2 linked regions of the Oryctolagus cuniculus genome follow. The protein of the gene in region 1 purifies or fractionates together with the protein of each later gene. This does not show direct contact. Links are inferred from orthologs where the notes say so. Each region holds a gene or a part of one and is shown on either strand. Other genes may lie near its edges.

The links. Proteins that work in one complex are often made in the same cells at the same time.
Region 2: the proteins of STX11 (region 1) and VAMP8 purify together in Homo sapiens (co-immunoprecipitation; 3 studies listed by BioGRID and IntAct, counting the BioPlex papers as one, with this or other methods). This does not show direct contact. The link is inferred for Oryctolagus cuniculus from reciprocal best matches to the Homo sapiens genes STX11 and VAMP8.

What each region holds. Positions count from the first base shown.
Region 1 is NC_091436.1:24,388,026-24,392,093, forward strand, and holds the start of STX11 (syntaxin-11), read right to left. Parts: upstream 2,804-4,068; 5' UTR 2,664-2,803; exon of another isoform or gene 2,620-2,663; intron 1-2,619. UniProt on the Homo sapiens protein: SNARE that acts to regulate protein transport between late endosomes and the trans-Golgi network.
Region 2 is NC_091433.1:117,071,449-117,075,598, reverse strand, and holds the start of VAMP8 (vesicle-associated membrane protein 8), read left to right. Parts: upstream 1-1,349; 5' UTR 1,350-1,784; coding exon 1,785-1,787; intron 1,788-3,100; coding exon 3,101-3,256; intron 3,257-4,150. UniProt on the Homo sapiens protein: SNAREs, soluble N-ethylmaleimide-sensitive factor-attachment protein receptors, are essential proteins for fusion of cellular membranes.

The DNA of each region.
Region 1 (4,068 bases):
TTCATTAATTATTCACTCTGTTTTCAAAAGATATATAACTAAAAGTGTCTGTGATCATCCAGTGGTGATAATAATCTGGGCTTATTTTTACCTGGTTATTAAATAACAGGAAATACGGAGGCCAGTTCTGTGACATAGTGGGCTAAGCCTTCACCTGCAGCACTGGCATCCCTTGTGGGTGCCGGTTCACATTCTGGCTGCTCCTCTTCTGATCCAGTTCTATGATTATGGCCTGGAAGGCCAGCTCTCTGCTGTGGCCCAGGAGTGCAGTGGAGGATGGCCCAAGTGCTTGGGCCCTGCACCCACATGGGAGACCAGGATAAGCACCTGGCTCCTGCCTTTGGATCAGCGCGGTGCGCCGGCCGCGGCGGCGATTGGAGGGCGAACCGACGGCAAAAGGAAGACCTTTCTCTCTGTCTCTCTCTCTCACTGTCCACTCTGCCTGTCAAAAAAAAAAAAAAAAAAAAGGCCTGGGAAAGCAGTGGAAGATGGCCCAAGTGCTTGGGCCCCCACGCCCATATGGCAGATCTGGAGGAAGCTCCTGGCTCTTGGCTTTGGATCGGCCCAGCTGCAGCTGTTGCGGCCATTTGTGAAGTGAACCAGCAGGTGGAAGACCTTTCTCTCTGTCTCTCTCTGTCTGTAACTCTGTCTCTCAAATAAATAATCTTAATAATAGTAATAGGAAATATGGTTAATTCAAACAACTTGAAATCATGCCTCTCTAATTAATATATATTAAATCTGTTATGAAATGAAGAATAAGCTCTCTACAATTAGATGGCTAAACTTAAAACCCTCTTTGTTCCCCCAGCAATGACCCAGTCTATTCCAAATCACAGATCTGAGGAAATAACACTCAGGTTGGGACAGAGACTGTGCTGGGCATAGATAGATCATGGCGCTCACCTCATTATATTGGATTTTCCACTGTATTTGTTGGCCTTCCATGCATCTCTAAGGATCCTGTCCTTCCACGGCTGTATAACCAGAGCTCAGGGAGGAGCTAGCACAGAGAAGGTGCTTGGTAACTCTCTGGTTGGGGCTAGCTGTTTCTCTTCTCTCCTGTGTGCTGGATTAGTGCACAGCCACTTCCTACATCTGCTGCTCAGTTGCAGTGGGACCTGTCAGCTTAACCTTTCTAATTTCTCACCTCCAACTGGCATGGCATTTTGTGTGTGGTTTTAGCACTGCTTCAGGAAAGGCAAACTAACTGTCTGAAATACTTTCATCTCAGAGAGGGATTTATAATCATTTTGTTAAATGATATTTTGTTAAACGAGCATTTGTGCCATAAAGTGAAAGTAGAAAGACAGTTATTGAATAATGAAATTCACTTTCTTGTGGCAGTGGGCATTTAGCCTAGAAGATTAAGACACCTGTGTACCACATTCCAGTGCCTGGGTTCGATTCCCAGCTCCTGCTCCTGACTCCTGCGTTTCTGCCAAAGCAGCTGGCAGATTAAAGTAATTGTGTTCCTGCCACCACCGTGGGAGTCCTGGATTGAGTTCCTCTGGCTTTGACCCAGCCCAAACCATTGTGGGTGTCTGGGGAGTGAACCAGCAGATGGAAGTGCGCTCTCTCACTCTCACGCTCTCTCTCTCTCTCCCCCCCCCTTCCCTCTCTCTCTCCCCTCTCTCCCTCTCTTTCTCCCCACTCCCTTCCTCTTCCTCTGAAATTAAAAAATAAAAAATCCTTTTCTTGGGCGTCTACGGTAAAGCACGCGATCTCCATGGCTATCTTAGAGCAGCCCAAATGACCCTGGCTGATGTGTGGCCCAGACGGGAGCTCTAGGAAACTGAAAACTGGAATTGTCACTTGGGACAACCGCCTGCCCCAGTTTGGCTGTGCATACATTTCACATCTGTATTGTTATTTTAAAGACAGACGGAGCAAACCTCACGTTTCAAAAGTTACTTAAGGAAGTCTCACAATTAACAGAGCAGCCCTGTGACTCATTTTTGGAGACCCGTGTAGAAATAACAACTCCTCCCTTTGCTGAGAAACGGCTTCTGCACGGGCCGGCCTGCGCAGCGCGGGGAGAAGCGCGGCTCCTGGTGAGGGTCCTCTGGGCGCCGCCAGCCAGCGAATTCACTCCGGGGCAGCCTCTGCCTGCGTGCTCTGAGAAAGTCGCGAGCGCTTGCCAGGAACCGCCTCAGCGCTATCATTTGGTCCGCATTTCCTGGCTCCTGAGTCACGCTGTCAAGTTCAAGTCAAGAGGTCCTCATTCTGTTTTTGAGAAAGTGCACCCCACTAGGAAGTGAGCCGTTTTATCAGGCCGAAGTAATGCCCCCACTTTCACAAAAGTGGGGTGGGTGGATCCTTGCAGAAGGCAGACAACAGGTGTCTCTGAGAACAATGCCCACTAAATCCTCAGTCCCTCGCCTTGGAAAAACGAAATAAATAAGAACCAACAACAAGCCATTGCGCTCCGTACGAGAAACCCAGTGTGGCGTCCCTAAGGGCCAGGAAGCGAGGGGTGGACCAGGGCCAAACCCGAAAACCTGGGCCCAGCATCCTGTCGCCGGGCAAGTGAGCGTCCCCTCCCGCCCTCCTTGGGCCCACACTCCCAGCTCCCCGCGTTCGGGACAGAAAAGGAGACCCAGGCAGGAAGGAACGAACCTGGACCCGGGGCGACCGTGCGAGCTGAGAAGCCGCTCTCTTACCCGAGCGCCGGCTTCGCGCTGGGCGCCAGGACGCAGAGAAAACCTGTTGCGCGCCTCTCCGCGGCTCAGCTCTCGCCGCCTCCCACAGCCTCCGCTCCTCCCGCGCCAGAGGCTGGGCTCAGCCGCCGCCTCCCGAACTCCGAGCCGCCGAGGCCGCATCTGGGCGCCGCCGGCTCGGCCCCCGACACTTCGCAAGAGCCCACGGCTGGGATCGAGGCCCCGCCCCGGGACGACAGCGCGGAGGCGCCGCGTCCACCAGCTGCCCGCGCGCAGGTTCCCGCCCCGCCCGCTGCCGGTGCGCTCCGGGCTGCCCGGAACCTGGGGCTCGCGCGCGCCTGCGGTGCGCCGCCGGGCGCTCCCGTGAGGTCGGGGTAATTGGCCACCCGAAGCCATCATCTGTCCCCCGCCTTCCTCTGGGCCCCTGCGGGAAGCGCCGGACTTTCCCGGGGAAACCCCGCGGCTCTGGTGACATTTGCAGCAGGGTGCGTTTCCGTGGCGAGGACGCTTGAAGCGAATTCTGAGCGTGGGTGTGGCCGCCAGAGGACGGCTGAGACGAGGCTGCAGGTCACACGATGGCTGGGCACTGGCTTTCCAGAACCCACGCCGACCGGCACCCTTCAAACCTTTGCCAACGCCAGTTTGAGTTCATTCATTCACTGAGGAGCCAGAGACACGACCATGGCCAAAATATTGCCAAGCCTCTGACGTCTTTGTGGGAATAGGGAAGCAGATACAGTGCGTATGTATTGTGGAAGGCGGTGGGAAGAGCCTTGAAGACCGAGGCTGAGACTTAAAGGTAAGAATAGTGTTCATTAAACACACACACACACACACACAATAAATAAGGGCCAGCGCTGTGGCACAGCGGGTTAGCTGCCTGCAGCACCGGCATCCCATATGGATACTGGTTGGTGCTCCAGCTGCTCCACTTCCTATCCAGCTCCCTGCTAAGGCACCTGGGAAAGCAGCTGAAGATGGCACAAGTCCTTGAGTTCCTGCACCTACGTGGGAGACCCAGGTGAAGCTCTGGGCTCCTGACTTCAGACCGGCCCAGCTCTGGCCAGTGCAGCCATTTGGAGAGTGAACCAGCAGATGGAAGCTAGTGCGCTCGCTCGCGTGCTCTCTCTCTCTCTCTCTTCCTCCCCCTCTCAAATAAATGGAAGGAAGGAAGGAAGAAAGGAAGGGAGGGAGGGAGGGAGGGGAAAGGAAGAAAGGAAGGAAGGGAGGGACGGAGGAAGGGAGGGAAAGAAAGAGAGACACAAACAAACCAAACTCCCACAAAGATGGGAGAATGTAAAAAAAAAAAGAGAAGCAACCAAAGGCCAAAGCTTGAATGGTTTGAGCAAGAAATTAACAAACATCATTTAAAGATGGCACATTTCTGAGAATTGCCTTAATAGTTGAT
Region 2 (4,150 bases), on another chromosome or scaffold:
CACTTGGGCCTTCATGTGCTGCCTCCCAGGCAGTAGCTGGAAGTTGGATGGGAAGTGGAGTAGCCGGGACTCAAACTGGCACTCCGATATGGGATGCAGGTGTCCTGAGCTGTGGTTTAAAAACTGCGCCATAATACTCACCCCCCGAGACATTATTCTAACATGCCATCAACATATGAAATTATGAATGCGATATTTCCATTCTTCTTTTCATACTACGTCTTTGAACTCTGGTGTGTATTTTACATTTACAACACATCTCAGTTCAGACTGGCCACATTTCAAGTACTCAACAGCCCAAGTGGTTAATGGCAACTGGTCTGGATGACACAAGTAGAGACTAAGAATTCCACTCCTCCTCCACCTGGCCTTGTGGCAACCTGAGAAGGGTGAGGCAGCCATGTTTCTTTGCCAAAGCAGGCTGGTACACACTTTGTTTCCCAGGCTATTTGTCCTGGCCACTAAAATTCATGTCTGTATAATCTAATAAACTTACAACCTAATTGGGGACAAAATTGTATTTAAGTTAGAAAAAAGATGTCTCAAGACAAAATGTATTAAAGACTTTTTAAAAGCACTGGTTTGAGTCCCGACTGCTCCACTTTATATCCAGCTTCCTGTTAACGTGTTCGGGTAGGCAGCAGAGGAAGGCCCAAGTACCAGGGCCCCTGCCAGCCACATGGGAGACCTGGATGGAGTGCCTGGCTCCTGGCTTCAGCCTGGCCCAGACCTGGCTGTTGCAGCTATTTGGAGAATGATCCTGCAGATGGAAGATCACTCTTATTCTGTTTCTTGTCCTCTCTTGGTGTTCTGCCTTTCAGATAAATCTCTCTCTCTTTTTAAAAGTATGTGTTGGTGAAGTTGATATTTCCTCTTTGGAACTGCCATTTCTTCTGGGAAGAGGCAAGAATGTTTGTTCCCTTCTGCAGGTCCCTGTTACTGTTCTTGTGTCTTGATAAACACCATCCAGGAAGAGAGGATTTTTTTTCTGGCCTTTCTCTGGCCCAGGGCCAGGTTGGTGGAAAAATCCTTTGCCCTGGGTCGTCCCTGTCTGGTTCATTGGGCTGTCCTCTGACCACTGATAGGGTCAGCAACCTCCCCCAAAACACACACACACTGTCCTCCCAAGGCACATGCAAGGCAATTGGGAAGGGAAGGGGAAGGGCTGGTGGGCCATCATTTCCTGATTACTTATTTTGTTCAAGGCACTGTCAGGCACATTGTGTGAGCTGTCTTTTACTCCTTTGCACCTGCAATACAGAAAGAGGTGAGGAAGTTCACTAGGCAGCATGCAGCCGGTAACCCTGAGCTTTCTGACACCCGAGCCTGGGGTGACAGCATTCCAGACTTTTCCCAGTGTTTGCAGTCCTAAGTACAAGGGCTTCGGCAAGATCTTGTCACCTCTGCACCTGTTTTCACGTGATCTCGGCCCGCAGGGTGCTTAAGACATCCCAGACATAAAAAGGAGTCTGTCCCGCCTCAGGAAACCTAGGAAGGTTGCTTGATCTTTGCTTTGTCGTTTCTGGCAAGTGGCAAGACCTTCGGTGCCCTCCCGGGGAGCCTTGTGGCTTTAAGTTTAAGCCCTGGTTGGGTGGAGACTGGGAGGGCGGGGGCGGGAGCCCGCCTACCTGAGGAAACCTGCGTTAGGTGTGGCGCGAGCGCAGGGATGGAGGTGGGCAGGGGCGGGCTGAAAGTTGGAGCAAGCAGGAAGTGGAGCGAGGGCTGCCCGGGAGGAAGCAGCCTGGGTGAGCTCCGCCGCTGACGGGCCCCAGCGACTCGCAGACATGGTGAGCGATCCGGACGGGGGCTGCTTTCTAAAGGGGGCTGGGGACTGGGGCTTGGCCTTGCCGAGAGGGGAGGGTGCGTGGTGAAGTCAGAGGGCTGGGGCCGGCGCTGTCTGTGGCCTCTCTGACAACTTGGCCGCAAATACTTCTGAGCCGCCTGGGCGGTGTTCCTGTCCCTGCCCCACTACCTCCCTCCCCTGGCCTCCGTGCTGGCCCCGAGCAGGGCCGCGGTGGGGGTTGGGGGGGCGTCCGAATTCCAGGCAAAGAGTTGCTGCCACTTTCTGCCGCCCCCCGCCCCCGCCTCCCCTGGCAGGGACAAACTGGGTGTTGTGACACCGCTGGACAGCAAGCGCCTCTGCTGTTCCCGGCTCAGATTCCAGGCCAGCGGCGGCGGGAGTTCTCCCACCGGGCCTCCCGCTTTCTCCCTATGCAGAAACCCAAAGGATCCCTCTGTACCGCGTCTAAGGAAGCAGCCGGGGGCCTGTAAAAGACCCATAAGTTGGTTCTCTGCGATAATCCAGCTTCGCCCCACACCCTTGGCAAGGTTCTGCCCCCCCCCCCCCCCGAGGGCCAGGCTGGGAGGCCTGTTTTCCCTCCTTGATCAAAAACCTTATCATGAACCCTGCAGGATGAGGCAGGCAGCAGGCGGGCAGCACTTGTCCTCCATTTCCCCCAGCGCCCAGGTGCCTGTTTTCACTTAGTATCTGCACAGGCTCTGCTGAGAGGTGGGGAAAGCAGAAGTGTGTGCTCAGCGGATCATGGCGCCGTGTGAGGGACTTGTTGGCTCTGGGTCATAGCCATGGAACTAGGGTCAGGCTGTCCAGGAAGCCCCGGAGCCGAAGCAATCCTCCAGCAGCTGTCCGGGAGCCGGAGCAGGCTTGGGCCAGGTGGGGCGTCCTGCTGGCTGGCACTGACAGGTTTAATGAAGACTCAGGGGGGTCCAGGAAGCAAGGGAGGGCTCTAGGACTTGGTAAATCGCGGGGGGTCTGCGCTGGAGGGGGACATTGTGAGATGCCAGCTCTGCAGTGCCTGCGACCCCATGAGGAGGAGGAAGCAGCCGAGAGGGAGTTAGCCATGCTGCTTTCTTCCTTGCCAGGAGCCCTGGGAACCCGAAAGTTTGAGTGATGGTGTCCAGCATCAGATCTCACCTGCTGGGGCTTACAGATGCATTAAAGCAGGAAAAGATAGTTTGTAAACAATGCAAGCATTGTAAAGGCTGACGTCCACCTGAGGCCTTCCACTGCCCTGGCCTCTGTGGCTGGGTCTCCCTCTGGTCCTCTGTCACTTGGCCTAATTAGCCCCTGTGCTGTGCGCAGGAGGCGGCCAGCGGAGGCGGAGATGACCGAGTGCGGAACCTGCAGAGTGAGGTGGAGGGAGTCAAGAATATAATGACCCAGAATGTGGAGCGGATCCTGGCACGAGGAGAAAACCTGGACCAGCTGCGCAACAAGACAGAGGACCTGGAAGCCACTGTGAGACGGGAAGACCCTGGGACCAAGGGAGGGCATGGTGAACGGGAGGGGCGAGGCTCTGCTGTTTCTGTTGCCTTTGCATCTATTTCAGGAATTGGCATGAGCTGGGTCCCCATTTCCTATTCTGCTCTGCTCCATTGATTGGTATGGGACCAAGGAATGAGTCTGATGACTGGGGTTGGGGTGGGGTGACCCACAGAGACATTTTCTGAGGCACACAGGTGGCTCAGTCAGCCCGCTCATTTTACTGTGTAGTGGTAAAAGCTGCTGCCTACAGTGCCAGCATCCCATGTGGGCACTGGTTTGTGTCCCGTCTACTCTTAGCTCTCTGCTATGGCCTGGGAAAGCAGTAGAAGATGGCTCAAGTCTTTGGGTCCCTGCACCCACTTGGGAGACCCAGAAGAAGCTCCAGGCTCTTGGCTTCTGATGAGCCCAACTCCAGATGTTGCAGCAATTTGGGAAATGAACCAATGGATAGAAGACCTCTCTGTCTCTGTCTCTCTCTCTACCTCTGCTTCTCTGTGACTCTGCCTTTCAAATAAATCAATCAATCTTTTAAAAAAATACATTTACAGAGGCCGGCGCTGTGGCATAGCCGGTAAAGCTGCCACCTGTAGTCCTGGCATCCCATATGGGCGCTGATTTGAGTCCCGGCTGCTCCACTTCTGATCCAGCTCTCTGCTGTGGCAGAGCATAGAAGACTGGCCCAAATCCTGCACCCATGTGGGAGACCCAGAAGAAGCTCCTGGCTTCAGCCCAGCCCCGGCCATTGAGGCCACTTGGGGAGTGAACCAATGGATGGAAGACTTCTCTCTCTGCCTCTCTGTAACTCTGCCTTTCAAATAAATAATAAAATAAATCTTAAAAACAAACAAACAAAAAGATTTACAGAGA